Schizosaccharomyces pombe: one gene and its partners. The protein of the gene in region 2 interacts with the protein of the main gene of each other region in a biochemical or structural test. Each region holds a gene or a part of one and is shown on either strand. Other genes may lie near its edges.

Evidence for each region.
Region 1: the proteins of rpn11 (region 2) and bag102 form a complex in vitro, tested with the Schizosaccharomyces pombe proteins (one study listed by BioGRID).
Region 3: the proteins of rpn11 (region 2) and txc1 form a complex in vitro, tested with the Schizosaccharomyces pombe proteins (one study listed by BioGRID).
Region 4: the proteins of rpn11 (region 2) and bag101 form a complex in vitro, tested with the Schizosaccharomyces pombe proteins (one study listed by BioGRID).

Annotation. Positions count from the first base shown.
Region 1 is NC_003423.3:786,465-793,646, reverse strand, and holds bag102 (BAG family molecular chaperone regulator Bag102), read left to right. Parts: upstream 1-1,563; 5' UTR 1,564-1,767; coding exon 1,768-2,388; 3' UTR 2,389-2,983; downstream 2,984-7,182. Other genes in the region: Tea1-anchoring protein Mod5, read right to left, coding at 1-98, 327-386; protein ksh1, read left to right, coding at 3,407-3,409, 3,448-3,557, 3,630-3,681, 3,751-3,807; SPOM_SPBC530.02 (transporter), read right to left, coding at 4,344-5,969; GTPase-activating protein Gyp1, read right to left, coding at 6,990-7,182. UniProt on the Schizosaccharomyces pombe protein: Inhibits the chaperone activity of HSP70/HSC70 by promoting substrate release.
Region 2 is NC_003424.3:3,005,059-3,012,807, reverse strand, and holds rpn11 (19S proteasome regulatory subunit, ubiquitin-specific protease subunit Rpn11), read right to left. Parts: upstream 2,163-7,749; 5' UTR 1,830-2,162; coding exon 903-1,829; 3' UTR 501-902; downstream 1-500. Other genes in the region: glycine decarboxylase T subunit gcv1, read right to left, coding at 1-215; SPOM_SPAC31G5.21 (FAM32A family protein), read right to left, coding at 2,365-2,721; RNA polymerase III-inhibiting protein Maf1, read left to right, coding at 3,491-3,496, 3,550-3,648, 4,013-4,624; cAMP-independent regulatory protein Pac2, read right to left, coding at 5,963-6,670. UniProt on the Schizosaccharomyces pombe protein: Acts as a regulatory subunit of the 26 proteasome which is involved in the ATP-dependent degradation of ubiquitinated proteins.
Region 3 is NC_003423.3:963,156-971,816, forward strand, and holds txc1 (poteasome interacting protein Txc1), read left to right. Parts: upstream 1-3,124; 5' UTR 3,125-3,555; coding exon 3,556-4,179; 3' UTR 4,180-4,590; coding exon of another isoform or gene 4,591-5,449; 3' UTR 5,450-5,511; coding exon of another isoform or gene 5,512-5,612; 3' UTR 5,613-5,736; downstream 5,737-8,661. Other genes in the region: SPOM_SPBP35G2.17 (uncharacterized protein), read right to left, coding at 800-1,120; shugoshin Sgo1, read right to left, coding at 4,591-5,449, 5,512-5,612; SPOM_SPBP35G2.04C (uncharacterized protein), read right to left, coding at 5,853-6,110, 6,296-6,716, 6,809-6,879; serine/threonine protein kinase (CK1 family) Cki2, read right to left, coding at 7,802-8,661.
Region 4 is NC_003423.3:4,230,860-4,238,381, forward strand, and holds bag101 (BAG family molecular chaperone regulator Bag101), read right to left. Parts: upstream 3,048-7,522; 5' UTR 2,926-3,047; coding exon 2,338-2,925; 3' UTR 2,091-2,337; downstream 1-2,090. Other genes in the region: exosome subunit Rrp42, read left to right, coding at 1,094-1,341, 1,439-2,090; top3 (DNA topoisomerase III), read right to left, coding at 3,076-3,120, 3,222-3,957, 4,005-4,141, 4,192-4,684, 4,774-5,150, 5,198-5,278; protein ptf2, read left to right, coding at 6,363-6,743; rps3 (40S ribosomal protein uS3), read right to left, coding at 7,466-7,522. UniProt on the Schizosaccharomyces pombe protein: Inhibits the chaperone activity of HSP70/HSC70 by promoting substrate release.

The DNA of each region.
Region 1 (7,182 bases), on a different chromosome or scaffold from region 2:
TTTCTCCGGATAGCAGGAGTAGAAGGAGCACTTGTACCTACATTTCTATTATCGAATTGAAATCCGACGGTAGTGTTTGGTCGAGGTTTTTTTGATATCTAATCATTAATGCCAGCAAGCTGAACCCTTAACTAGTGAAAAGGGGGCAGCCCAAGCAACACTTGTTAGCAAATCATTATTTCAAACAGGCAAGATAGGGTAGTACTCGGAAAGAAAGGCTCCATTCAACAAATTGAACAGCTGCAATTTGCGTACAGGTGCAACTTTCATGTCTTACATAAAGAATAAGAGAAACTACCTCTGATCTTCTTAAAAAATTAGCATACCTCGGATGTCTCAGGTCTCCAAAAAGAAGGAATAGCAGGGCTTTCAGATAAAGCCGACATGCAATCAAATAAAAGAAAAAGATCAATTAGAGCCAAAAAAGAGAGTAAAAAGAATATCCAAAACTGGGAATTGGGAAACCGGTGTTTGGCTAACAATTAGTAGTACGCGGATCGCGACGCTAATTTCCTCAGTTGAGCTGGTATCGTGTTAAATATTTTGTAAAAGAATATTTCCCTCTTTTTAGTAATGTTCATGGAACAATTGGTGAAAAACATAATATTAAAAGGTCACAAGAAAATTTTTATAGCTAAAATATTCTTTTAAAAATAATTCGAGCAAGTTCTCAGGCAGGTGTAGGAAATAGATGGATATTTAATAGAAATTACCCTTGAGAGCAAATAGAGCTGATTCCTTTATCCATGTAAGATGGAAACATAACTTTTGACGTCCCCAAGAACATGCACTCTTAGATAGGTAAGCACATCAGTGATGGAGTAAGTGTTGATATATCCAGGTATTGCAGACGAGTAACAATAATGAAAGTTGAAATGGAGAATTGTTTACAGCATGATATCCTGTTCTTCAATTTTTATGCAATTTGAGTCCCCAACAATTGAATCGATCAAATGGGAGAACCCACTAAATTATTGAAGAGTATTTTGAAAAAATAGTTGAGGTATAAAATACCCAAGAATTCAACCATTAAACGATAAAATCAACCGAGAATGCGCTTTTGCTGATATGAATTTATATGAAACTTCTTCTTTGCTTTTCAGAATAAAGTTATACATACAAATAAACAATTATTTACGCCGAAAGCAATCAAAGATCCTTAGAGTATTACTTATTCTCTTAAAAAAAATTAGAGCATTACTACTTCTGGTTAAAGTCAGATTCACACTTTGTTCAATTATCAAACACATCCCATGGATTGCTTTTTTCGGTACCTTCCTTGTCAAAGAAACAAAAATTAAACTTAAAAAGAGAAAAAACAAGATCTTTACGAAACTGAATTAGTTTAATTTGATGCATGAACGTAAATGATAACTAGATATTTGAGGTCAACATGTCAGTCTACTGCAGCAGAAGTTTTAACAAAAACAAAAAGAATAAGATTTTGGCAACAAACAGCTTTTTTTTTTTTTAATTATCATTTTTCGGACTTATCATGTTTGTATAGGAGAAACTCACATTTCAAAGAATTCATAACACTATCATCTCCACAACCTACATAGTAACCACCAAATGCGAAATTGGTTCGAGAGCAACTCACCAATTTAAAACATCCTCTCTCTTATCTAGCAATTAAATTTTTATATACCAGTTCCTTCATTTACCAAGGAAATCTGATAAAGACCCAGACTTATTTAGTCTTGCTTATTGACCGGTTTATCACTTCTTCATTCATTTGACTTTAGGAAAAAGCATCGAGAAATCAACATGTCTTTTTTTACCCAGTTGTGTTCTATGGATAAAAAATATTGGATCTCTCTAGCTGTATTGTCAGTTACTGTTTTGATTAGCGCATTATTGAAAAAGAGAGCTACTGAAACCGAAGATATTGTCGTTGTTCATTACGATGGCGAAAAGTTGAATTTTGTGTTGCGACAACCAAGGCTGAATATGGTTTCTTACACTAGTTTTCTTCGTCGCGTGTGCAACGCATTTTCAGTAATGCCCGACAAAGCGTCTCTCAAGTTAAACGGGGTGACCCTCAAGGATGGTTCACTTTCCGACCAAAATGTGCAAAATGGAAGTGAATTAGAGCTCGAATTACCCAAACTGAGCCCGGCAATGCAACAAATTGAAGCATATATAGATGAGCTTCAACAGGATCTCGTCCCTAAAATTGAAGCCTTCTGCCAATCGTCTCCCGCTTCGGCACAAGATGTTCAAGATTTGCATACACGCCTTAGTGAAACATTGTTGGCTAGGATGATAAAATTAGATGCTGTTAATGTTGAAGACGACCCAGAAGCTCGTCTTAAAAGAAAAGAAGCTATTCGTTTATCTCAACAATATTTGAGTAAACTAGATTCCACCAAGAATCAAAACAAATGAAAAATGTGTTATAATTTAACAATTCTTAGTTGCTTGGGAGACGATGGTTCCGTCGGCTATGGTTTTTTGGATATGTAAAAACTGATTGACTAAACAACTCCTACAATATTTTTCCGTTTCTAACAACTTCTATACCAAGGTTCTGCAAACAACTTGTAGCACCCAATTTTAAGTTTTTATGCTGGCTTGAATTTTTGTTTTTCTTTTTTTGATACCGCTTGCTCCTCAACTATTAAACTGTTCTACTCTCAATTTATACATAATCTTTAAGCATTCATAATGCCATATTTTCTATTTTTGTCGTTACAACTGTTTTTTCTTACATTTGCTCAACTGCAGCCGTATCATTAATTTTTGTAAACATTCGTCATTGCTTTTTGTTTCTTCCGGAAGGTTGGATAGTCATAGTGTTACAAATTCAAAATACTTTTTCTTATGATAAATGGATTTCAAAACTGTATACCAATTCTAGCATATCAACTCCACATCCTTTACTTCCTTCGTAATCACTTAACAAAAACTCAACGTTCCAATGTTTTATACCATTAATATCGAAGAGTGAAATTTAGAACAGCTGGTTATTTTGAAATTTAAGAACCATGTCTATTTAAAACTAAGGTTAAAAGTATTTTATCATTATTATTTGACTTGACTGCATCGTCAATGTATTATGTAGACTTATTAAACGTTACTCAATATTTATGTAACATGTTTTCCCCTTTCCCATTTATAAATAGTTTAATTTCCTCAAATACTTTATACAGCCCTCCTGAAAAGTCATACATATATTAGCATTTGTCCACCAACATTCAATATATTTTTAATATTATATATCGGTATTTATCGGTGTATCAGAACACGAATAATATGCGTTGTAATTCGTAATAAATATTTACAACGTCTTGTGTGTCGTAATGTGAACAAGTGAGCATACTTCAAGTTCATTGTATGTTTCATATATGAACACAGAAATTACATGCTTTTTAAAAGCTGAAAATTTTAATCAGAGTATAATAAAATGGTAACTATTTTTGTTTTAAGACAAACATTAACCGTTAGACTGCCATTTTTAACTTTGAAAGTTTGCTTTTCGTTATACTATTAACGATCTGCACATGTACTTATTTACACCGTCAATTCCCTGCTTTATTAGAAAAAAGAAAAGAAGGGTAAGCCTAAATGATTATTAGATATATAATATTTTAGTTTTGAGGGATATGGAATTGCTAATAAGTTGACAGCGTGACAATGGTATTCTGGAAATGCGCTCGAATTGGTGAGCGAGCTAGTCCGGTGAGTTTTAGCTATTTCACTAGCTAATTATCCTTTTTAAAAAAGGCTAGATCTAACATCTATCTTTAGTATATATCACTATTTTGTGTTTTTATGGCTTTACGATTTATTTTCGGTTCCTCATAAGTTATTAAAATTTTAGCTTTCTGGCTAGCTTATGACAGTGAAGAGAAGAAAATACTTTACAAACAGTTTTATTTCTTTTGCTTACACTTTTCATTTCTAAATAGCTGGTAATCAAGAATAATTCGACCTTTTTGTCGTTTATGTTGCACAAATCCATCCCGCACGAAAATTATTATATCAATTCTACGCCCATTTCATTCTTTCATCCTTATATTACCTTTTTACTCACATCCATTTTCATATCTTTATACGCCTGTGTCTATTGTGTTAATAAAAGATGTTAACTGTAAAGAATAACATATAAACAAGATGGATTGGTTGATTTTTGATTTCGATCTATCTATCAGTATAACTCTCATTTACTATAAAAACTAGAATAACACCCTGTTATGGCTTGTTCATATTGACTTCTGACCGATTTGGGTATCGTTTATTTAATTACTTAATTCAATTGCTTAAAATGTATCAAGCAAACCAAGGCACAATTATCCTAAAGCTGCGAAATCTATTGTACTAATGGTTGTGAATAGTAGTACTCACAACTTGTATGCGTGTTTACTCAAACCACGAATTTTTTTTCCATATATAAAAAATAAAAACGGTATAGGAATCATTCCTACTGAAATAAAACCAAGTAAACTAGTTGCCCAATGGTCTCCTAAATTCACATACATGGGCCTGCCTACTAGACTCATTCCTCCACTAGCTGCATAACGGACAAGCGTAGCAGCAGCTAAAGCACTTGCAGCCAGTTTTTGATAGGAATCAATTATGTAATTATAGGAAACAAAAAATACAAACAAAAGCGACCAGCCAAAGAAGATACTTGATATCAATGGAACTATCCAATGCACGTAAGGATGGTATGGGTAACAGGTCCATGCAAACCAAAACATGGAAATCGGTAGCATTATGGATCCAAAGAAAAGAGGGTATAGACGGTCTTCTGGAGACATAACCCCATTCCTTCTTGTATAAACTCGATTGTAGTGTACGTAGATGATGGGCGTGCAGGCACCTGCTAAAACAATACCTATTCCAATTCCAATAAACGATAAACCAATTTCTCCCTGATCGAAAGAGTACTTGGCAAATACTATAGGGTAGCCTTCAAAGTCAATATAACCAATGATGTACACGACAGTCAGATAAAGTGTAAAGCAGACTACAATAGGTTCGGTAATCAATAAAGAGACAGAATCAGTACAAGCTTGATATATTGCACTCCTTGGATTCCGCTGTCTTTCGTGAATGGTATGCCATTTCATATTTCTGGTCTTATTACGCAGATACCGAGCTTTATAGTCTAAAATGGTATCCCCATGAGTTTCCGGCATGAAGAAAAAAATAATGACAATTACCACGGCTCCCATGATCATATTTATCCAAAACACCCAACACCAACCCAAGTAGCTCTGACAAATAAAATCACCAATGATGGGTCCAAAAATGGGGCCAAGAAAAGGGAAGGTGCAAAAGCCAGGAAGTACATACGTTCTTTGTATGGGAGTAAATAAATCACTTAGAGTACCACCGCAATTTGATAAAGGCGTACTACCGAAAAATCCTTGAAAAAAACGTAAAATAACCAATGTCCATATATTTTGTGCGCAACCTCCACCAATTTGAAATAGGGTAAACATCAACAACGTACAAAAATAAACAACAAATCTTCCATAGATACCACTGAGAGGAGCAAATGGTAACGATCCAAACCCGAAGCCAACCAAGAAGACACAAGAGCCTAAAGAAGAAACAGAAATCGATACCCCAAAGTCCATTGAAACATTACCGATACCTGAAGAGTATACGCTCGATCCAAAAGTTACCACAAATGCTATTAAGGATATTTGAACTACAACAATCCATTTCTTCCACATTGGCCAATTTTTGGGATTTAAGGGATCATCAATGCTATCCCATCTTACTAAATAAAAATCACTTACATCCTCGGAGCTCTCTTCAAAAGTAACACCGCATTTTTGAATTTCAGGCATTACTGTTCCTAATGAAACCACCATTTTACGGGTAGCGTCAATAGCACCAACAACACCTTCATTCAATGCATTTCCAACATCCTTCACATTTACTCCGTTATTGGATATACAGTCAGACTTTACAACCCCAAACTTTCTGCCGCTTGCTAAAAGATACAGATCCATTTCTTTCTTATCGCTTAATTTGCGCTCCTAAGCCAGACGTAGAGGTAATAGGCAAAGTCTCCCTTATATAGTAAATATAGTTTGAAAAACAGTCACTGCAAATGCTGTTGTGGTAAGCAGTTGCAAAATCAGCATGAAAAAGCTATGAGTATTGAAATTTAAAAGATAAGAAATTGATCCTATAGTTATAAATAAATGATTTCTTCTTCATGAAAAGTAATACAATGATTCTATAACGCAATGGAACGTGCTTCTTTATTTCAGTTCAAAAACTGTATTAAGTTGTATAAATATTCAAAAATTGTCACAGCGTTTTCATTATCTACTCTAATTCATCCATACATTTTGGTCGAATCAAGGAAGAAGACACAGACCATGTAGTACAGTCTTGTCGATTTTCATCATCTCTTACCAATACAAAAGTCGTACTTTGAAATCGTAATGTACAATCTTGGATAAAACCAAAGAAAACATGACTAGCATAGAAGAGAAAAAAAAATGATATTAATAACGATTCATGTAAAGTATCACGCCATGGACTAAACAATCGTTGAATAGTAAAGTAGTAACGTAAGTCAAACTGGAAAAGGGTTAGAGAACGGTCGAACGTAAGAGTAAAGACAAATTACATATAAGTAATAGTGAATATACAATTTAATTCAAGGGTTAATAACTTCCCAAAAATGATTAAGGTAGTTCAGACTTTCTTCAAGAGAAATACTTTATCCTGCATGATAAATTCTAAAAGTCGCAAACTCAATCCAGCTGAGTTAAGGAGCAAACTTGAAAAGTTATTTAGGTGAATGAAAGGAAAATTTATTAGAAGAAGTAAGACTTAGACTCATAAGCTCATAAACATAGAAAAGCAACACAATGAATTAACGAAGGAGATTTGTCAACCTAATTATAAAAATGCATAGGAAGGATGGCATTTGAAAAAGGCTGCTATGCCAAAATAAGCAAGGGATTAAGGAAGAAGACGAATGCTCTGAAAAGGGAAAACGAAATGGCTACTATGCCTTACCTTTTCAAATGTGCACCAGCTCCACTGTACAATGATTTCCATAGGAAAGCTTCAGATAGTAAAATTTCGATATCCTTTGTGCTCCAATCTTTTGTCGGAATAGACTGCAGAAAAATTAATATATCCTGAAATTCCATCTTTTGTAATTCACTCGACCATTTCACTAAAAATGCAGCACATACGTAGAGG
Region 2 (7,749 bases):
CTTACATCAAATAAGCCAGAATGCTCCCGTGTCCACTTATGACTGGCACTAATGGTTTGACCTTTATACTGTACTGGCATTGAAAAACCAGCAAAGGGGACTATGGTAGCTCCTTCTTTTAAATGCAGATCATATAAAGGAGTTCTCTTGAGTGAAGAAGAAGCTGCCGTAGAACTTTGGCGCTTTAAGATTGATAAAGCAGCAGATCTATTCATTATGAATTCAAAAAACCAGTTAAATATTGGAGCAAGTCTTAAACGTTGAAAATAAAAAAGAAACCTTGTTAAACTTCTTAATAAACAATTGTTTGTTGATTCCGTAAACCAACATACGTTAGTGGTTGGCAAAGGTTGAAAGATAGATAGGAATACTTGACAAGTACAATATCATGCTACATCAAAAAATCATATCACGCTAAAATGTCATATAATAAATTAAGTAGCCTCAGTTATACCTTTATGTATTCAACTTCAATGGTTTGACGCTGATCGACGATCCTTACAGGTACATTACAAACAATCAAGGAAACAAAATTTTTAACATGTTGGTAGAAGATGTTTACAAATTCAATAATTGAAACAATTTTTTCTTATTGGGAAGAAGCTTGAAAGACTGGTGTGCAGGTATATCTTAAGGATCTATGAAAAAAAATATATAAGAATCCATCAAAGCAAACGCTCGCAATCTCAAGAGCTTACCAAAATATCATCAATCATACTCCACGATCATGTAAAAAGTTTTAAAAAAAATGTACTCCTAGTCACGAATATGAAATCGTAAAAAAGTAGTATCAGATTCGACCAACAGGATTATTCAAACAGTTCATAAATGCTTTGAGTAAGGAAAGAAAGTAGCTCATAAAAAACGGATGATGGAAAAGAGGTATTACCAAAATAGATGTACTAGAAGGCAACGGAATCAAGCATACAAGCTAACATGGAAGAAATATTGTTGTCTATACATTTCTGAACCTCAGCGTCAAGATGCTTCTTGGGATCTTGTTTACCAACGTATTGAATACGAAGTTGCTCCGGACTTAAAGTCACTTCATTTTGAACACGTTCAGTGTACTGTTCTGACAAGGATTTCATCTTATCAATAGAAGCATGATTTTTTTCCGCAGCAGAATTAAAGTTTTCAAGTAAAAGACCATGTGCCCAAGGCTGTTTGTGTAAATTCAAAAGCATGATCTCTTCAAGCTCAGTTTTTTTGTAATTGATGCGAAGGGAGTAGTAATGTCTTCCTAAACCGTGAATTAAAGCTTGAATGCTAGGTTTGTTGATGTGACCCAAATTGGAAGTTGTTTGTCTGGGTTCCTGACCCATCATTAGGGTAGACGGATTAATCAATCGAAAGGCGTCAATTACCACCTTTCCTTTGACAGATTGAATAGGGTCGACAACAACTGCCACCGCTCTTGGTGTTAATTGCTCAAATGATTGTTGGGTGTTGATATCGACACTAGAAAGCCAACAACCAAAACCCGGGTGAGAATGATACCAACCTACAACCATTTCTGGCCGTCCTGTTTGCTTAAGCATATCCATCATATTTTTTTGGAAAACTGGATCGACTGCTTCTACACTGACACCTGTACCAGATTGAGGCATTGCAAAAACATCAACAACACGTACTGTAAAGTCATCAACGAATTCTCCTAACATCAAACCCATAACTTCCATTGGTGTACCATGTCGCCCATGACGAAGCATTTTTAACAAAGCTAGAGATGAAATGTATACACACTCGGAATTATCAACAAGAGGCTGATCTCCCATCATACCAGTACCCATGCGGGCACCTTGTAACAATCTTTGTAAAGATTCCATCGCGAAAAATATGACTCGTATGTATGTATTGAAATATGAGAGTTTATCAGTATCAGTGGGGTTCCTCTCAAATAACCGCAAATAAAAGTGTAATTGGAGATTAAATGAGAAACTCAGTATAAGTATTTAAATAAAGTTACCAAAACGTTAATGCTGTTCACTGATATTTAGTAAGACGACAAAAACAATCAAAGGTCACTATAATGTGCTTGTTCTTCAAAGGAAGTTCTTTCTATATGTTTCAACCACTATACAAAACGAATATACAAGATTCTATGTCTTTGGTCTCACTTAGGCAGCTAGTATACGTTTACGTGGTAGTTGGCTATAAACAGGTTTTTTCTAGAGACAAATGAATAGCTATAACAATAATGAGGTATAATGCGTATTGTTAAAATAAAATAGTGATTTCATTAGAGTGCGTAATTCATAAAAGAATATGGTAGGTGGATGGAGAAAAACTATGCAGAATAGAGGAGGCATCCATTGCTATTTAAGTATAGCTATTGAGAGAAAAAAGGACGTGTTTTGAAAACTAGCCGGGTCCAATTTTAGGCATGTCAAAATGCTCCGACTGACTTTCCAGTAGTCTATTATACTCATCAATCCTGTCTTTATGTGTTTTCAATCGCTCATTCTTTGCTTTCTGAAGTAATCTTTGTTCCTGAACAGACTCAAAATGTTTCTGTGCTTCCGTCATCGGCATAGCCGAGTCTGTATCCTTTGAGCGAAGCATTTGGTACGTAGATACGCCATTTTCTTCTAAAGGTGATTTATCTCGGGAAGAATGCTCTTGAACTTTTTCAGCAAGTTTTTTAGAATCCTTCTTTTTCTTTTTCAAAGGTTTTTTTTTTACATTTTTCAGTTTTAGAGAACCACCAACGTAGTCCATAGTTCTTGGTAAAGGTAAGTTGGTGTAAGCAAAATGTTTGAACTGTACGATAAGAGGTGAAACAGTTTAATACATTTTACACTAGGAATTGAATTTAAAAATAAAATAAAATAAATATAATTTAATAGTAAAAGTGTAATAAGTAATACAATAAAAGAATTGATGTATGTTGTGCAAGTTTATTAATGGGCTCAATTTAAAAAAAATATGTATATATATGTACAATTTCATTGTACAAGTATACTCTAGAAGCGACGATTATTCATTAAATAAATTATTATTACTTTTTTTTTGGTTAATAATGATACTTGAACCGTTTCTTTTAAGAATTGTAGAAAAAATTGAATATTGAAAAATTGAGTTACTCAATGCTCATCAGAAAAATACGGAAAAACTTATAATCGATATTTTTAAACTGATTTGTTTTTATTAGACTCCTTTTAATTACTTAAAATATTTATTTTTATGAATAAATAAATGCATTTCGACTTGGACTTTAACACATTATACGGTTAAGTACCTTAAAACAGCATAAAAAAATAAATGGCAATGCATCGGGATGGTTTCTCAAATATATTAAGCTTCGGTAAAATGTTGAACCGACATCTAACAAACTCCTTACGCTTACTATTAGCTTATAGTCTGTTATTTAAGATTAACGTACCCTTAATAGAAGTGACATTGACGTTGGACGCGACGCTGATACCTAACCACAGCAAACCTCTTTTTAATGAAAGGAAACAATTGAATTGATTACATTACAATTACTATGAAGGTAAATATATTTTACTTTTTATTTGTCTTACTAAACCCTGTTTTTGTGACCAGTTTCTTGAGCTTGCCGATTTAGATACAGTCAATAATGCCTTATCATTTGATGCCGATGATTGTCGCATACGCGGAAAGTGCGAGCTCTATACAACCAAGGTAAATTTAACTTGTAAGCTTGGTTAGTCTGGTAAAGGGAAAATTGTACATTGGTTCTTGAATTTGACATATGCTTTTAATAATGATCCTCTTTTCTTGCGTGGTCAAATCACTAAGTTGAACAATTTTGGTTCTTTTTGGTCTCTTGTACAAGATCAGCTAATTATATAATCATTGTTTTTTTTTGTGATTATTTATTTAGTTTCTTTACGTTTCAAATCTGAAACCAAAATGATTACGATTGTTGTTTACCAAATGGAGTACCGCGTCTGAGTGTCTGTTTTTAGATTCGGGAGCATTCTGCTTTATTAACTTACCAAGACATGAATATACTGATATATAAAATGTGCTAACAATTTTATAGAGTACAAATTCTGACAAGAAACTCTTTAAAGCTATAGAGAATCGGTGTCAGGAGGATCTATTTGCATTATCGAGTAGTAAATCACCGGAATATGCTTTCAGCCTAACTCAGCAAAGTCCATTTGGGCCTCTTGATCAGTCCTCTTCTCGTCGTACCTTTATGTACATTGTCGCTACTCTTAATGCCTCTTATCCCGATCATGATTTTAGTAGCCTCCAACCAACAGATTTTTACAAAGAGCCTTCACTATCTCGTGTTGTAGATTCCGTTAATTCTACACTTAATAACATTGGTCGTGGTAGATTGAGTGTGAATGGAATTTGGGAAATTATCGACCGTCATATCAACCTGTCTGATTGCAGCGTTTATTCCTATACTCCAGATAGCGACAGCGATCCTTACGGCGATGATGCTTTAATATGGGGGATGTCCTACTTTTTTTTTAACAAAAATATGAAGCGCATGCTTTATTTATCACTTCATGGTTTGGGCAAGGAAGTCTCGGGTCGGAATCGTTATGGAAATGACGATGATTCTGTGTTTACACCACTTGCGGACGATGCAGAGCCAAGCGATTTTGATGACGATTGGGTTGCTAACATGGATGATTAATTTTTTGGTTATTTGGGAAGTAATGGTTTCTGCTACTTTCTCTTTTTCTCTCTTTACATTTTGTTCAACTCGCAAACTAAATTGCACCGTGCTCATTTTATTATTTCAGAATCATGACTTTTCGAAATTTTCTTGTTTTTTCTAATTGTAAATACATGAAACCTCACCTTTCTTTAATATCTCCCTGTTAATTAGTTTATTTCAAATTATTTATAGCAACCCTTTCTTTTTTGCATTTTTGAAAAAAAAAATATGCCCCCAGCATTTTAGGTACTTCTTGTTTTTTGTTTTTTATCCTTTAAGGAACCTATTTTTTCACATGTGATTTGTACGTTAAGATTTTCCAGACTGTACTACGGTTTCTACTCTCTTGCAACACACGTGTTTATACATAATAGATTAAAAAATTTCCAACAACTGTTTCATAGGTTTGTACATGCAATTTGACCTTAGAGGAAAATTTTTTAATCTGTCCTCATTAATCATCTGAGCCTAACTATCTTTAAACGTTCACATCAAGTTCCCGAATATTTGAAGCCTTATTAAGCATCATCTTGACATAGCATAATGATGTATTCAGTTATTCAATTTAAAAATTACCTTTTCTTTGAAAATACTTCATTTACAACAAATAAAAGCTATGCATTTACTTAAAAGATAAAGAATTAATTTCATAGTAGTTGTATTTAAGGAATTCAAATTACCCTAAGAATTGATGCTTTCCTATCATTTTACCCGAACATGAGCTCTAAGTTGAGTAGTAAAAAATAGAAATGTTGAGTGCATAATTCAAATGTTGAATACTTGTTCTACCGTGCTTCATGATAGACGTTTACTTAACCATTTCCATCATGAAAAGAAATAAATAATAAAGAGAAAAAAGGAAGCATTGATGAAATAACCACAAAAGATTCTTTAAAAAGGACATTTCCGATATTCGCAGACGAAACAAAATAATGCGTAAAGCGAAATGTCTAAAGAGTTATGATAACGATACACATCTAAACCGACGAACAGAAAACGTATTTGCAAGACAGTTGAGCGATTACTTAGTTAATGAATTAAATCAAAACAAGCTTTCTGTTTTTATCACTTGCCGTAAGTGCTGAAGAATGAAGTGGTAACTTGAAATTAAAATTGATCAACCACATAAATTAGACGCTGATAGACAAAGCCGCAGATTAGTAAGAGCGAAAACGCAGCCGAGAAAATGTCACAGGAAACTAGGATTGATTGGGAGTCGTTAAAGCCCCATATATGATGCAAATGAAATCTATAGTAAATTTAGTACACTTTTTAACCGAGAAGTAGGACCCAATGTGAAGAAAAAGATCAAACCTATAGCCATAGGGCTTGACGCAACTTATCCAAAACGCGCGCGTCTTCGCTACAGGCAACTTTCTCGACAAGAATATCATAAGGAGCGAGAAACTTTGGTGCTTGAACAAGCGGTGGACCCGCGTCTGGATACAGTCCATATGGAATAGTGATACGTGAAAGGTTAACATCACTACTTGGCGTGACTAATGAAGGATCAGGGATAGGCGAAGAATAGGAAATAAGGTGAAGTTTATGATTTAAGGAGGTAGTAATACTAAAGGACTGCTTAATTAAGCCGTTCGGTTTGTAATGCAACCCCCGTAGGTTCTCATCATCAACCGACTCTTCATCACTCAAGCTCGCGGCTCCACTGTCCTCATTGCTGTAAGCATTTAGGGAACTATTACCAGTCGTATCTGCAGAGGGAGAGCGTTTAAGGGAACCATCGGTGGAAAGACCGTGATGGTAAGGTTTACGTTTACCCTCCATTTCTCGGTAGGTTAAGAATGAACCGCTGACACGAGAAGCACTCCATGATTTACCATCAGTCCAACGGCGCATTCCAGCTTCCCGTTCATCCCACACAAAAACACTGCCTGCTCGTATCAAGCTTCTTTCATGGTCGGACAATCGACGCTGGACGCGTGGAAGAAGACCAATTCGACAGGCCTCGAAAAGGATAATCGCATCCAACGGGGTCTTAATGATACCTGTATAAGTTTGCATGACGAAAGGCAAAGCCGATCAGATCGTAGTTTGAAGATGAAGTAAAATCAGAAAATAGCTGTCACGAAGATTCAAAAAAAAAAGCGCACTGGATTAGTTACCAATGCAAAGATCAAAAGAATCAACTAACGAAGCTCGGATTAAAGAGAAATAAAATAAATAGTTTTATAAATATAAGTAGAAGATAAGTTGACTGTGCGTGTATATATACAGCTTGACCGATAAATGGGTAGTCGAGTAAGTATACAGGAATGGAGACCTTCAATAAATTATGCAATTCAGTCCGAACGAACGCAAGATCTTAGGAAATTCAAGCAGGGAAAAATTAAATCTAGATATTATCTTCAAAGAAAATTCAGTTGCAAGACTAGCCGATTTGATTACCTTTTAGTACTTTCTAAAAGAAAATGAAACAATTAAACGGCAGGGAGAAGCAAAATTCAGAAACAATGAAGGAAAGTAAAAATTATTTAATAAATGATTTTCTTTCTTTTTTTAGGGAGTTATAATAAATATTATTATTCGCGGTTTCAACTGATCGTCAAAAAAACACCCAAAAAAAACAGACTTGACCAAAAAAACTTCCAATCAAGTATTAAATCTTTACAAACCCAATAGCTCACTTGTATGTTAAAAGCAAAGAAATTTAAATTCAGCTTTTTTAACAATGCTCAAGGTTGAAATTTGGCAATAAGAAACGTCACAAATAGTTAAAAATGGAAACAGTCGAAAAAATCAAGATAGATCAAATTTTTTTCTCAATGAAAAAATTAAACGAATCCGTTCACTAAAATAGAACACCTTTCTACACCGGTTCTCTAGTTGTGGTAAAAAAAGGTCCCTAAAAGTTCTTTGCAAAGGAAAAAGCTAATGTACGACAAGGCAAAGTAGCTGTTCTTTGGTTTACAATGCTTCAATCATACAACCGGTACAACTTCACTTGCTGTTAGTTTATACACAAATTTGCTTAATTTAATTTTGTTGTCCAACCTTTTTATTCGTCAAAAAGACGCTATTCGAAGGTGACAACGTTTTGCTGCTTAATGCAACACTGCGGTTGGTGAAGGAAAAGTTGAGTC
Region 3 (8,661 bases), on a different chromosome or scaffold from region 2:
CGACCGACTGCATATGCTAATACATTGCGTGAGTTGCGTACAATGTTACCTCTTCATAATTTGATTACAACACACAAGAGAAGAAAGCAGAACGACTGATGTGGGGGATTTGAGTCGGAAGTGGGAAACCGAGAAAAACACTGTGTGTACTAACTCGCATACTAAATGCACACACAAACGCTAGCTCAGCCGGGGTGTCATATACAATAGTAAAAACACACTACATTTTTTATTTTTTCATTTTAATTCTCGAATACTCTTCTACTCACTTTAAGCGACCTTTCGCATCATATTCTCCGCCTTTAAACCCCAAAAATACATGTGAGAAGACAGTTGTACGCCAGCTCACAACAACATGATGCTGATCGCACATCTTTGGACTGTAAAAAGAGGCACCGATGCAGTCAGTAGCGGAGCAAAATGGAGAACCATGGTGATGATGACTTTTTTTCAACGAGAGATTTAAGGCGATAGGTGGGGTCGAAATATAGCATGTATAAAGATGTGCAGGGCAGGGATGAAAAATTAAACTGACGGTTGGGAATGAATGAGAAAAAAAAGAAATTAGTTTAAATTATAATAAAATAGAATAAAATAAATGGAATTCAATAATAGAGAACTAGAGAAGTAAAAATAAAAAGAGAAAAAATAATAAAACAAAATTTACACATGATAGAGATATAAATATATTTCACTATTAGAGAATGGTTTTACTTTTATATATCTATTTATTTATTTATTTATTTTTTTTCGATTTCTAACGACAAAGTGCGAATCGTTTATTGATTATACATTGTATTTATGATAGTAGGTGAGCAAACAACCGGAACTCGAAAAATATTTGCGAAAACTTGCGTACAAAAAGATGAGTGAATTCTAATAAAATGAAATGACTGTGGCATGATTGATGTTTTGTTTCCCATGTCTCAATGAGTAGCATCAAAATTAATTTTACCTGTTGTCCTTGTGCGACACCCATAGCGGGAGAACTAGCTAAAAAAGAAGTGAAATCTCGTTGTTGTTTCACACATTGTCTTACAATTCCATGGAATGACTTGATTCTGAAGACGGTCGGAAGCAACTTTCTGCCTCGACCGGTAACGTAGAATTCACGTACCATTTACTTATACTCATGTAACCTTGTTGTAAGTGTTTGGGATCTTTGAATCTAACGTTCGCGGGATCTAGCACGTGTTACTCTGTAGTTTGCCACGAAGCAATAACTCCTCAGCAAAGAGCTAGGATGCAACACTCTGCCAACAGTAACAATCACCAACTGTAGTAGCTACTGGATCCGATCCCACCTGTGCTTCCTCTGTAGGTATGCAAAACATCCCACATAGGTACATCTATCCCACATTTTCACGTACCCATCCCACATGTATCCATCCTACATACATCCATGTGCTTTGCTATATGCAGAATACAATAGTGCTAAACGCATCAGAATCTTTTGGAAAAATTTTAACCTACTACTGGAATTCATTCATTTCATGAAATCGATTATTAAAGGACGTATGAATCTTGTTTACAAACCCATGAGGGTCTTTTTTGCATACTATGTTTTCAATGATTTTCCTTTGATCAGATAACGAACGCTGCGTGTTTCGGTTATGTGCTAGAAAAATCGCATTCCAACAAACGAGTAAAAATAGAATAAGATGGTTTAGTAATTAAACTCGAGAACGAAAAAAAAAATAAAATAAAAAAATAGAAAATATCGTATGTACGGCTTCTCAAGAAAAATTTTTTTCAAGTTCTTTTTCTTTTTTTGGCTCTAAGTAGGTAAGGCGTATTCAAATCAAAACTCCTTTCCCACTTTTTCCCATGTCTTCCTTGTTTTTCTTTGTTTTTATTTTTCTGTCAAGTTTCTCCTTTTTGGGACATTTATTTACTACTTTTTCCAGAATCTTGTATAAACACCCTATTCCATATGTATCTAGTACTATCCAGTGCAGCGGGACAAAGAGAAGCGTAGAGAAAAAAAAGCCAGTTATGCAAAAATCAGGATATTCGCTAAAGATATCAAGATGCAGATCATTCTCGTTTGTATTTTTTTTTCAAGGATGAAAAATTAGAAAAATAAAAAAAAGTAGAGAAAGAAAATGCAAGAACACTTCTTTGGTCATTTTTATTCAACATCGATTTTCTCATTAAAAATTTCTAATCCTTTCATGCTTTGTTGAACCAGTGAGGCATTTTTCAGTCGCATAAAAATATCAACAACAGGGGCGAGACACGGTTAAGGCAAGGGTTAACAGCGGTTCAGGTCCTTTTGCACGGATTCATGTCCGTAGCGACATTAGGAGTAAACCTTAGGAATATAAAAGTCAACCAAAAAATAGTACGTTCTCTTTCTTTCTTTTTTTTTTTTTTTTTCTCTAAATAATCAAATCCATAATGTTCAATCCTCCCACACCAATGTAATCCCGAATGTACGCATATCCATGTTTCTCTTAATAAACATTCACCATGGAAAAGAAAACACGTTACATATGGCGTGCCATTTCTTTCTTCAATGTAAAATTATACAAAGTTATACTTTTACGCTACCCCCAGCCTTGGCTTGCCCTCCCCCACCCTTCTTTCCATGACTTGTTTCACATCTATAGCGAACCTTTTCCCTTGGTCTTGCTTTGGTTGTCACCGTATTTCTGCGCTGTAACTTTGTCACGTGTCACCGTTCATTATTCTTGCATGTTCAAGCAACCGGTTTTTATCAAAATCCTATACATATATATTGTTACAATGAGCGCCACACGGCCCACATCCTACCCGCCTGGATAGAAACAATGTTACCAAGGAAGAACTTTGGTGTTGTCTTTTTCATGGGCCTTTTAGCTTAGTTGTTCGTATGCCTTGAAATTCTGTTCCTCATACAGTGCTACAAAAGTCTCGCTAATTTAACGTTGAAATTTCTACACTTTCTTTCATCTACCACGTAGAAATTTACGACTGAATAACTTTTTTTTGCGAGAAAACCAAAAAAAAAACAAAAAGGCCCCTTTATATTTATGTATAGATTTTCTTTTATTTATTTTTTAAAATTCTGGTATTCATACTATTCATCGAATATTTTCAAGTTGGTGTTTAAAAGTCAGTAAGGAGGTTGTTTGCTTATACTGTCAACGTTTCTTTGGTACAAAAGTGAGTTTTCGGTTATTGTCTCAAAATCAAAATTTTTTAAAAAGCAATAAAATAATTCATCGTTAAAAAACTACTTTTATATTCTTTCTTTTCAGTTTTGAATTCTGATTTTGATTCCATTTTTGTTTTTCTTTTGCTGAAGACTAGTAAAGCTTCTAAGAAAAATATTTTAACGCATAACGTACTTCTGGTCTCGGGAGGCTTTTTCGCCATATTTTTCCGCTTTTGGTTTTCTTCCTATTAGTTGTTTTGTTTGAGTATTTGCTTCCGAGTGTCGGTCTTACGTCTTAGTGTGCTCGCAAATAACTTTCCCTTTTACTTTTTGTTAGCGAGTTTACCGTTTATTTATTCACCTATCAACTCGCCTAGTCTTGCATTTTTAACGATTTCCTTAGAAGTTTGTACTAAATGTCTGGCCCTCACCATTGTTCCGCTGACTGTGATGAACATCCGTTTGAGTCTGGTCCAAATGATACCTTGTATTCTTGCATCCGAAAGGAATCAATTGTTACGCTGAATGAAGCTGTACCAGATTCCGGAAAACTCGTCTTCAAACCTTGGGACCTTCGTTATGATGACACTGATATCGTAGAAAGTGATGCTGATGACCAACTCTTGTTTCAGGTACCGTTTGCAGGTGCGGCAACACTAAAATCAATTTTGGTTCGCATTTTTCCTAATGAAACCGCTCCACACTCCTTTTCACTTTTTCCCAATCGTACCGACTTGGATTTTGACACAATCGGTGATGTCCAAGCCACTGAAACATTTGAATTTCCCTTGACTTTTGAAGGAAGCCATATCTTCGAGTTTCCTGTTAAGACTCGTCTCTATCAAAACCTTCAAAATCTCAATATCTTCTTCACCAAAAGCGACGGTTCTGATGATCCTACACAAATCGCCTACATTGGTCTTCGTGGTTCTTTTGTTCCCTTCAAGGGTGATCCTGTTGTAACCATTTACGAAGCTACTCCTAGACCTTCAGATCATCCCAAAGTTAACCAAGAGGAGGTTTTCCGTTCTTACTATTAAGCTCCCGGGAAGTTTAGATTCCTTCCTTTTGGTTTTTTCCTCTCTTATTTGAGATTTTTGTTTTACCCAAAGCAAAATAAAAAATATATATGAAACGATACGAATACGCTTTGATTTGGATTTTTTTTAATGACGGTTATTTAAAGAATATCTAACGCCCTTTTTCTTTTCTTTTTCTTAAATGGCTAAGTCTCCATACTTTTTTAGCTTATGTTTAAATGTTGGTTTGTATTTATTGGCCGATTAATTATGTGTTTATGTAAAAGAAATGAGCCTTGATTAGGTTCTTTTTTTCTTCCTCTATTATTTTTTGTTTTTCTCTTGAATTTAAATGTTGCTTGCAGTAGATTAAATTATAAATTAGCTGTGCTATAAATGTGAAAATATTTAACAATGTGACCTCAATATAATTTATGCTTTGCCTCTGGGATGTCGTTTGCGTTTTCTATCAGATGGTAAGTCAAAGTCTCGTCGTAGTTTAGTTCGCAAACTGGGTATTGCATAGTTTATCACTTTGACTGATCGTCTTAGTTTTTCACGTCCATTAATCCTTGGTTGAGATTCTTCAAAATCACATGGGGAGCTGTCTCCGGTTGCTTGTCCTTTAAGGTCAGTTATCTGTTCAGCACTTTTACAAGGAATACAAACACAAACATTTGATGTTTTAGCCTTTTCTTCTTCAGTTTCGCCCTCGTTGATGGATTCAAATTCGTTTTCTTTTAATTCCTTTGAAAAGATGGTGATATTTTTTTGCGGCAATGAGTAATTCACCTCATCTTGTGGTATTTTGTTTACGTGGGCATTGGTTTTATCTTTTAATATACATTTTCCAGGTTTTTCAGATAGAGCCGGAGGACCATGGACTTTTTTTTGGAAATCTTGAAAACAATACAATGGTTGCCCTGTTTCGAGACTTTTAAGTTCATCATTAAATGATACATACTCCAAGCGTTTATTATGCAAAATCTGATAATCTTCTTTCGAATCTTTATTTTCACAGGTTGTAAATTGACTTTTTACATTCGCTTCGAGGAAATCTGATGAACACTTTTTCTCTATAATCTTCAGTAAACTTTGCACTTGTGAAATCTTTTTGTGAATGGTTTGTATCTCAGGAAAGAAGTTTTTTAACAAGTCCTCAGTTTGAGATTGATTGCGAAATCGAGCTTCAAGTTTAACCAAATAACTTTTCAAAGTGAAATTTTCTTGTATCAAATCTTGAATTTCGTTTTCAGATTCTCTAATTTTTATAGAAAGCTGAGTATTTATTCTGAAAGTTAGATGTTTATTATTTACCACAAGGGATTCAAAAATGGTGTACTTTGACCTTACTTTATAATTTCACGATTTTGTTTTAAAAATTTCTTTTTCAACGACTCCATCGGCAATTTATCTTCATTGTTTATATTTGAATTTATAAATTGAAAGTTCATAGCTTTTTTAAAGCTTTTTTTGCGAAAAGCAATTAAGGACTTGCTGATGTAAACAAACCTGTTAAGTGTAAGGTAAACAATCGCAAACTAAAGTCTTGTCATATTGAGAAAGGCTCTTTTCTTTAAGGAACTTGCCAAATCAATGTAAATTAGTATATAATAAATTAGATGAAAGATGGTTGTACGACTTAATGCAGCCCATATCCTGAATAAAAATTGATAAAAAGAACATAAAATTAATTACTGCTTCGCTATCCGACAATATCCATCCAACTCCTGAGAGATTAAATGTAATATTCGACGAATTCTTTCATCAAACTTTTGGAAATAATGATGCAATTGTGAGAAATTAGATTCGTCCGTGGTCTTTCCTATTGCTATAAAGTTAGAGGACAAGGGAGCTTTATACTTTTTGAAAACACCTCTAAAGAATTCATAAGCTTCCAGTATACTGGTGAGATAACCATGAAAAACAGTACAAAAACTGAGATCGTAAGTCTAAGTAAGTAGTCGGTTAGTATGCATCATTAAGAAAACGTGTTAAACATTGGCATATTATATCAACGAACGTTGAATTTAACTACATGCAAAGGTATAACATTATCAACCCTAAAAATTGCAGATACGTCTTTTGGATAAGATCCCTTACATAGTAGTCCGCTTAAAATTTATGTAAAACTTACTATAGGTAAAAGCTCCATGTTCTTGCTAGCATGGTCTTTTCCAAAAGGGTATCTTATGCTGTCTAATATTGCTCGAAAATGTGAAATGCTCCTGGTCGTAACGTAAAACCCTTTTTCAGTCAACAAATAATTCCGAAACTCAGCCGTAGTAATATAAATGGAACGAGCAACGTCTTTAGCATCGCCATCGGATTCCTGAATTAGACATTGTATGTTTCTAGCATGAGATAACAAAGCGACCGTTCTAACTGTTAGCCATAAAATGGTAAAGAGTTTCTTATAAAAATGTAATCGTATTAAAATGGGTAGGTTAATACCAGATACGAACCTTTTTTTAAAATTGTTTCTAACCATAAACGAGTCAAGTGCTTTTCGGTCAAGTGAGACTCCATGGAAGCGAATTTTATCATTTTTAGAAAATCTAATAAAGTTAGTAAGTAAACTCATAAATCATTCACTTTAAATTTTAAAACTTCAGGCGACAAACACAGAAATTCTTATAATTACACACACATTTCAAAAAACTTGGCTATATATGCTTCATTTTTATTAATTCTATCCTCAATGGAGCTATTAGATATCATATTTCGAAGCCGCTCTTGTCAATTTTAGACTCAAATCGTTTAACACACATGCACATGCATGTGCACGCACTAAGAAGTTAGAAAAGGGAGATCTATTTAACACCTGATAAAACTTGGGTTAAAACTTCAAGTCTACAGTCTTGATACGAAATTATATCTACGCCATAGAGAAAAAAAAATAAAAATTACATACTATGGTTTGACAGATTTTAGCGTTAGTTTTTGAAGAGGTCGTATACAGCATATTAGGTATACGCTGCAGTAATTATAACCCAATAAGTCAAAATTTTTTCTTTATTTGTTGCTGATTGTTTCCTTTACTAAAAAGGGATTTACCATTACTCAAAAGAAATTACCTAGTTTCCAATAAATCATATGGCATTTGTCCAGTTCAAATACTTTAAGACACGTATAGTTTATTTTTTGAATGTCCAGCTAAAAAATATATTACACGAATCAGTATAAAAAGAATTCCTTTCTTTTATTCTATTTATTTGTAATTGAAAACGAATTAGCTTCCGTTGTCATTTTACCAATTGTTAGTACCTAGAATACATATGGTTTGGTTATATATGTGTATGTATATATTATTTACTACAATAGTACAATGTCAGTTTTAAGACAATATTGAGTTATGTTAAAGGAAAGCAACATTAAAAGATTAAACGAGAACCAGCAAAGTAGGCTAGTGCCAGCAAATTTGCAATCGAAATAATTAAAGAATTTGATTTAAGCACCCGCTCAAAGACGCTATACAGCGTTTCTCAAATTAATATTAAAAAAAGATGAACCATTTATCCCGTACTCTGAAAACCAAATCATCAAATGATTGATATTGTGAAAGCATATCTACCGCATAGTAGAACAACACTTATTTAAGTTAAGAAAGTGAGTGACTCTAACAATAGTTGAAGCTTCGAAACTAAGAAAAGCAACGACAGCATATCATATCAAAAAATCCTCCTTTTGCTTCCGAATCAGAATTATCGTTAGGATGATTTACTCCGACTGCATTATTCGAGGGCTGAGATACATACATAGGTCGAACCCTATCGTAACCTCTAGAAGAATGAGCATAAATTGTTTTTTTAGAAGCAGACTGTTCTTGACGCACCAATGGAGCGTTTTTGCTCGGCAACGCATCGAACGATGAGTAATTTCTAGGACCTCTCACCCCATATGAGGATTTAAATCGCATGTTCTGTGTTTGCAAAGTACTGTTCTTTTTTCTGGAATCATCATTTTGAACAACATTTAAGCCAAGGTAATTCTTTCGTCGCTTCATAGCAACAACAGAAAAATGAGAAGAGCTTGACTCCCAACCTTTACCGTCATTCAATAACATCCAATCATAAACCCCATCATTCGTATCACCATTTGCTCGAAGTACATCATCAAATAACTCTTGTAAAAACGCATAATCCGGTTCTTCATCAAATTCTAACGAACGCACATAAGTCATGTATTTACTGAATTCATTAGGAAATCCAGCACAAAGCTCACTAATGGAGGTAGATTGCTTCTTTTCACTAATCTTTTCGTATTTGTGCTTATTGTTGGCAGCTTTCAATCCTTGCCAAGGTAAACTTCCCCTCAAAAAATACATAAAGACGTGTCCCAACGATTCTAAGTCATCGCGACGGGATTGTTCACGTCCAAGATGCGTGTTTATACTCATATATCTCGCAGTCCCCGAGAGGCTTTTACGTTCACTATATGGTATATGTTGCTTGGTTTTGGGATCACGGTAATATTTGGCCATACCAAAATCAACCATATATA
Region 4 (7,522 bases), on a different chromosome or scaffold from region 2:
CTACGTCTTGTAACATGTGTCACAAATGTATAAATACTAGTGAGATCTGTCTGTTTATATTGACAATCCGTTACATCCCTTAATAATCGATTATTATAAATAATTTATAATCGAATCACGTTCCTAAATTCAGTTAGAAGCTATAGCAATGGGAGGATTCTATCACATCTACGCATGAGAACAAAGGAGAACTGCAAGCTAATAACAGATCTACTGTAATCATATTTGACAATCCAAAATCGACGCACGTTATCAGGGACACAATTGATGCGTTTGGTAAATTTTACAGACAGCCTTAACTAAATAGGTCTAGGCAACGAGTGAACTAGCTCTATATCAAAGAAGAAATTGGATAGTTTTATTTCGATGACAACGTCTTTAAATCCATGATCCAATAGGCCCAACTTGCTTGTGGATGGATACTTACAGATGGCACGCTATCGAACAGAACACCAGATATGATCTTATTGCTACTCGGCCAAATTGCATCAAAGTGGTAAATAATATTTCAGCGTAGGTTTTGCATCCAAAATTTTGAAGGAATAGGTTATAATGAAGCACCAACTGCCCAAGCATTTTCAACTGATGTAAACTTGCGAAATTTTTAGAGAATGCGCCTTTTCTGCTGTGTCAATAAACAAGTCTTAGCTAATAAAAAAACATGTCGCAGTAGTACTGACAACGCTATAATTTACTACGTTGTGTATCACATTTGGAACATGTTCTATTTAAACATAGCCTCGTAGATGATAGATATTGGGGCAAATCATTTGATATCTGAAACAAATATTTAGTTTATATGTTCAACAATTTAAATAGGAAACTAAATTTCGTTCCTCACTTTAGTCAGAAGCTAATAACAGAAATAGATCATAAATAATACCTACATATACCAATATTTTCAATGACTCATAGCCGTTATACCTATGTATTATAATATAACAGATCACATGTAAAACTTATCGCGGTTTTGCATATCGTTAAACAGATACAAAACTGCGTAGCATACATAACGAACTTTAGAATATACGCAAGAACTCAACGCAATATTGCAAGGAAAATTATTCTTAAACGATATACCATTAGCCAACATATGCAATTGTCATTACCAGAACTATCGTACACACACAAATCAATAACAGAATTTGAGCCTGCAATTCGGAATGATGGACGTTCGATAGACCAGCTTCGTCCGCTTTCTGGACAAGTAGATGTTCTGCCTGGTACAAATGGTTCTGCTAGAGTTAAATGGGCGTCTTCGGTGGAGATAGTCATAGGTGTAAAAGCAGAAGTGGGTGATGCTACTCCCGAAGGTGGTAAATATGTCGCTTCAGTTGAAATGTACGTGAGATATTTGGAGTTCGTATTAACATTGTTTGGCGTAACAAACAATATGAATCAATTGAAAAAAGCTGGTATGCTAACACTTTTTATGTAGTTCTCCATCTGTTTCAATCCAGAATCGTGAAACCGATGAAATTCCTTCATTCCTTACAAGTGCCCTTCAGGATTTATTAAACGCACTTGCTGTCGACTATTTGAAATTTACACCATCTAAAGCTTGGATTATTCACGTAGATGCTGTTGTAATACTTTCTTCGTCTCCTTACGAAAACATTCTTTCAGCTTTAAGTCTTGCTGCTTATTTAGCATTACAGACTACACGTTTACCTAAAATTTCTACCCCCAATGTCACAGACATCACTATTGGATCTACTAAATATGAGCCTTCCGAAGAATACGATGTTGATTCAGAATGGGAAAATGCATTACCTTTGCAAGGGTTAGAATTAATGTCAGTCATAATTTTGGTTAGTAGCATTGATCAAGTGATAATTGTTGATCCTACAATTGAGGAATCAAGTGTCGCTCAAGTGACATATGCGATTGGTGTTCAAGCTAGTGGTGCTATTAGCTATACCAGGGTCGTGGGTACTGGAGGAGGCTACGCATCCACTGGACGTGCAATAACTGTAGAGCGATATATAGAATTGTTAGAGACTGCGTCTACCGTTGGTACTAAGCTTTTGAACGCCAGCAGCGATATTCTATCTTTTAAGGGTTTAGGATTTTTTGATATTCTTCCATAAATGAATTGGGTTGGGTTGGTCTCCATTTCCTATATAATAGCATCTTTCTCTCTATATATATATATAAATGCAATACTTGGGTTACGGAATCAGGATCAATTTTGTTACATGAAGAGGCATGCATCGGTATTTTTGGTTACTATGGTTGGTCATTGTATTTCGTTTAGGTCAAAGTCATATAGCAAGTATAGTAGATGGGAATAATTTAAGGGAAATGAAATGGTAACGTCTATAAAAATAATAAAGCCTATGCGGCCACTTCTTGGCTTGTTTGGTCAACGTGATCCAACATTTTTTGGATCTTAGAAACAAGTTGCTTCCGTTCAAAACGCAATTTCTCGCTGCCCAGTACGTCAACTCCATCCAATTTTAAAAGCTGTTGTAAAAGTAGTTCACTTATCATTAGTTTCTGTTTGTTTTTCTGCTTTGGATCGTTCGACGGTTTATTTACGTAATTGTCGTACATGGGGGAAAGTTCTTTGTCAACATACTGATCGATGGCTTTTATTTCTCCAGAAATACGCGAAAATACAGGATTCTCCGCTTCCGCTTTCGGAGCGGGCTCAACCGTGTCTTTTTCCTTGGAACCTCGTTGTTGCTTATGTGGTCTTATACATAGAATTTTACTATGATTTTTTAAACCCAATTTTGATAACGAGGCTTTTTTGTCTTTTAAACGCTTGCCAGCGTAAAAAAGCTTGACTTTCTTCTCAGAAATCTCAGTCGTTTCAAGTAAATCATCAATCAGTTCACTTAACGTCTCATTTAGATTGACTGCTACCGGAAATCGCTGATTTCCATAGTGTATTGTAACTGTGCTAGTCTTTTCTGACATTGACGATATTAAGTCGACTTGCTTAACGGATCCAACTCAAGATGTTTTATGTTTTTAAGGCTGATGCTATCCAAAAAAATGAAGGTCTTAATGCGACGCTTAAAAACGAAAGGTAATAAGTTAATAAAAGTATACGAGCGGTCTGGTTATCTAGGTTTGCGGTTCATTATGACTCATAAGGTAGACTCTGCAACTCTGCGTTATATTTGTTAGCAACCATAAAATGAAAAGATTAATAAATAAAGTATGGGATTTTGAAAATTGGAAAAGTAGGAAACAATGATAATTTGACTTACATTTTTTAAACAATCGAATCTTTGCTTTGTGAGATGAAAAACATCACGGAATTGGGTAAGGATCATATGAACTAGAACATTCCGATTAAGTTGGCCATTTTCTATGTTTTTAAGTTGAACTTCCATTTCTTTTCGCAAGAAAGGCTTGGTCAAACTCCACTCTAAACCAATTTCATCATAGCCTTTTGCCAAAGCAACTCCTAAAGAGCTTGGTACAAATTCAGTTACACCTTGGCCCCTTTTTTTTCGTTTTATGACATATTCTCTCTCCTGAACTTTTTCGATGTGCTCTGCCATAGTAGCATCTGTCCCGATTCCATTGGCATCCATCAAGGCAATTAACTCCGGTTCAGTGATATAGGAAGGGGAGGACGTTGAACTGTCCATCATGTCGAGAATGTGGGGTTGGAATTCCTCGTGAAGTCTATACTCTGGTAATTGATCCGAACTTTCCCATTTCTCATATGGATAAACCTCTAAATAATTTTTCTCTGTCACTAGCAATCCCTTTTTAGAAAAAAGCTCTTCTTCCATTTTAACCTGCACCAACGTTTCGGCTCCTTTGGCATTGTCAGAACAACAAGCTAAAAATCTTCTTGTAATTAGCTCATATACTTTCCAATGATCTTGGGAAGGAAGCGCTGACCGGTGAACCATTTGAACGGGATGAATAGGTGGATGAGCGCGATCATTGTGTTTACCTTTTCGGGGCGGTCGATAATCTCCAGCCAAAAGCCTAACATTAGTTATTACGGAAGCCACTATAAGAAAAATTATATTTACCCTTCTGCATAAGAGTCCCATTCTTGTGCACCTGTTAGTTTTTGGATAATCGCATGCAAATTCATTGAAGAGTCAAATTGGTCGGTTTCAGTACGTGGGTAAGAAACAAACCCATTAGTATATAAGTTTTCGGCGAGCTGATGAAAATGATGTTAAAGTTGCAAATTCACTTATAATCAAATCGTACCTCTAAAGTTTTCTTAGCAGAAATTCTTAGATGTTTTGGCCCCAGTTTTGTAAGTTCTACAGTTGATAATGGCAGAGGTTTATACTTGGTTTTTGGTTTTTGAGTTATGTTAACGACCTTAGCAGTTTTGCATTCTAAACAGTTTTCCAAGATGATCATTGTAGTTAATCTGTCAAAAACTTTGGCCCTTTCCCAATTGAACTGAATAGTCTTACCCTGTCTTTTATCAACAAATCGAAGGTGCCAGTAGGTTTCAGGCACAAAGTCTTCTACTCGCTGCCACCGATCAACTACAAAGCCTAATGTAGGGAATTGGCAGGGACCATAACTTATTATTTTATTCTGAAGAATATCGAATGATTTTTGTAATTGAATAGTTTGTAGCCGAGTGAATATTGCACCTAAACGAAAATCAAGTTCAATTCTAGCATCCACAGCATCTGCAGCATTTTTTGAAACATCTCTTGGACGTTTCGCGGCACTGATAATATGTCTGAAAATTAGTTAGCATTTATCTTGAAGGGTTTTTTCTGTAATAAATAAATATCTGCTTTTTAAAACGCTAAGATGTTTATAACTTACGACCGTTCCAAATTATTGAAGTCTGCTCGGATAACCTGAATAGATGGATTGCTGGCTCTAGCTACATTGGAGATTTCCACCCCAATGTGTTCACCCTCACGATCACAATCGGTCCAAATATAAAGGTACTGGGCATTTCTAGCTTCTTTTTTAATATTGTCTGCTAGTACTTCTGCATTCTTTGATACTGAGGTGATGATTTGAGCATCGAATAAAACGTCTTGAGGGACAGAGCTCCAACTAGAATATTCAGAAGGAAAAGAAGCTTCTGTTAAGTGACCGGATACAGAAGTCATTGTAACATCAGAAGATCCAACATTGCCTCCAAAATTAAATGAGAAGTCGTAATTTTTTACATACTTACTTCGTGTATCTCTCTTAAGAGATTAGTAAATTTCAGAAAAGATTAAATTTTTTAACAAACCCTTCTCACGTGTCCACCCCCTAGAATGCTTGCTACCGATTTGGCAATCGAGTTTTTTTCAGCAACACATAGGACGCGCATTTCTTTTAAGAGATGACATTTATTACTTGGATATTGCACACCTTCTAATTATATCTCCCTTTTTTAAAAATGACTGCAGTGTAAAATTCGCGTGTAAGGTGTTAAGGTCGAGATGGCTTTATTGTTTATGCTAACAAATGTTGGTATAATGAAAGGTAGTAAATCGAGGACCAGAAAGTTCATTAAAAAAAATCAAACACCATACCAGTAGTTAATTATACTAGAGAATTAAGAAGAACCTCTTTAGATAAGTAATTATATAATTTTGATGTATGTTGCATTGAAGAAGTCCATGTAATAACTATTTCTTAAGCTTTCATAGTCAGGACGGTTTAATGAATAGATGCGCCGAATGTATAACAAAATTTAAAATTAATATTTTGTTTGTAAAAAAAAGTTAGAAATTTAGATATTTTTTGATTTTTGAACCCATCATTCGCATTGTAAACTACATATTTATTTCTATAGAGCATGGTAAATTGATGTAAGTTCCTTAATTAATTGAAATTAAAATAAATAGATAAATGAAAGTTCTCTTATTGACTCAAACCGGGATTGATAATATTTTAATTTGTTTTTATATTTATATTTTCTCATCTTTTAAATGCAAAATAATTATCGATAGCTAAAAAAGAAAAAGAAAAATCATGCACTATCGATAGAGTGAAGGGACTGTGCAGAGGATTTTTTTTGTTTTTTTAAAACAAAGCGACCTTGTCTAGAAGGCAAGTTTTTGTTTCACAGCTTCTCTCGTAAATCTCAATTAACTACTTTGATTCCATACAATTGGTAACATGTTACTTTCCTCACCACTGTAGTAGACAAGTGCGAACCTGAGATAACTGATGAAGCAGTAGTAAGCATTCTTCCACGAGGTTTCTACTTTTTTTAATATAGTCTGAGGTTTATTATTCTGAAATATAAAACACAAAAAATCCATGTTCGATTAAAGCGATTGAATTTGGGAAGTTTAGGAGGTGCGATTAACCAAAAATTTGAAATTTAATTTCTTTTTCATCTTTTCATTTTGTTTTGTTTATAACAAGTTTTTGCACTTTGGCTTCCACAATATTGACCTTTTTTAATGGATGAGATACAGGAGTCATCGTGTAATGAAAAATTGAGTGACGAAGACCTTGCAGCCGAGTTTGTTGAATTTACCGATAATATTCCAATCGAGATTTATCGTTCTTTACGTTATATAAGAAAATACGAGAATTTTTTTGCAAAAGAAAATGAAAATTTAAATACCGCTGCCAGGTTGGTGTGTGATTGTCCCATTTCAGAGGTCCCAAGTGCTAAGCAAAAATTGGCAGATTCTCTGTTTACATCGCATGAGTATTTACGACAAACAAGTGCAGAAGCAAACAAGTTATATGAAAACGTTTTGGCCTCTTATAAGCACTTGTGTGAAAAAATAAAATATCTAGAAGCAGATAATCCGCTTTATGTTCCAGCACCATGATTTCATTTTATTTTTTATTTTTTTGATAACCAGTTTCCCTTTCATAATAATATTTTAATTTTTTTTTTGCTGCACTTTAATGTTGGCAGTGCGATCCGTGCGTATTCTGTTTACTTTGATATGAGAATTCTACCCATTTACGGTTGATGGATAAAAGTGCCTGGCGATGATGTTTAACCTGTTAGCGACAATTTCTATAGCTTTTCTCCTTTTTTTTCGTATATAACTATGATAAGAGATTTTTAATTTAGGATTATAAGAGTCATATTATTTATTATCAATTGCCAGTTTAAATACTGAAACGCTAATATTGAACATTACTCAATTCTGAAAAGTTGCATTGCCAGTTTTCATTACTCCCCAAGGTTTATTTCTCCTTTCTTTTTTTATTATACTTTCTTCTGAATTTTAGAATTGATAACAAAAAACTTTGCTAATATACAAGTAAGGCAAACGATTTCAATGTTTGGACATTGCTCGGACAACTAAGTGTTCTTAATACATTAAACGCACTTCGGTTGTGTGTCAAACAACAGTGTTTTTACCTTTATGTATTACCTGAAAATGTGTCTATATTTATTCTCTTCAAAGATACAATTAAACGAATATACCAAAAACACTTATTACTAAATACAAGTACAATACCATACACTCAGTGTCAAATCAAATATCTTAAACCGAATTTATTTTTATCAGGAATTAAGTGGAACCAACTAAAGCACCTAGTAAGCAACAGCAGTCTCTTGTTCAGCAACAACCTCTTGGCCAGCAGCAGCAGC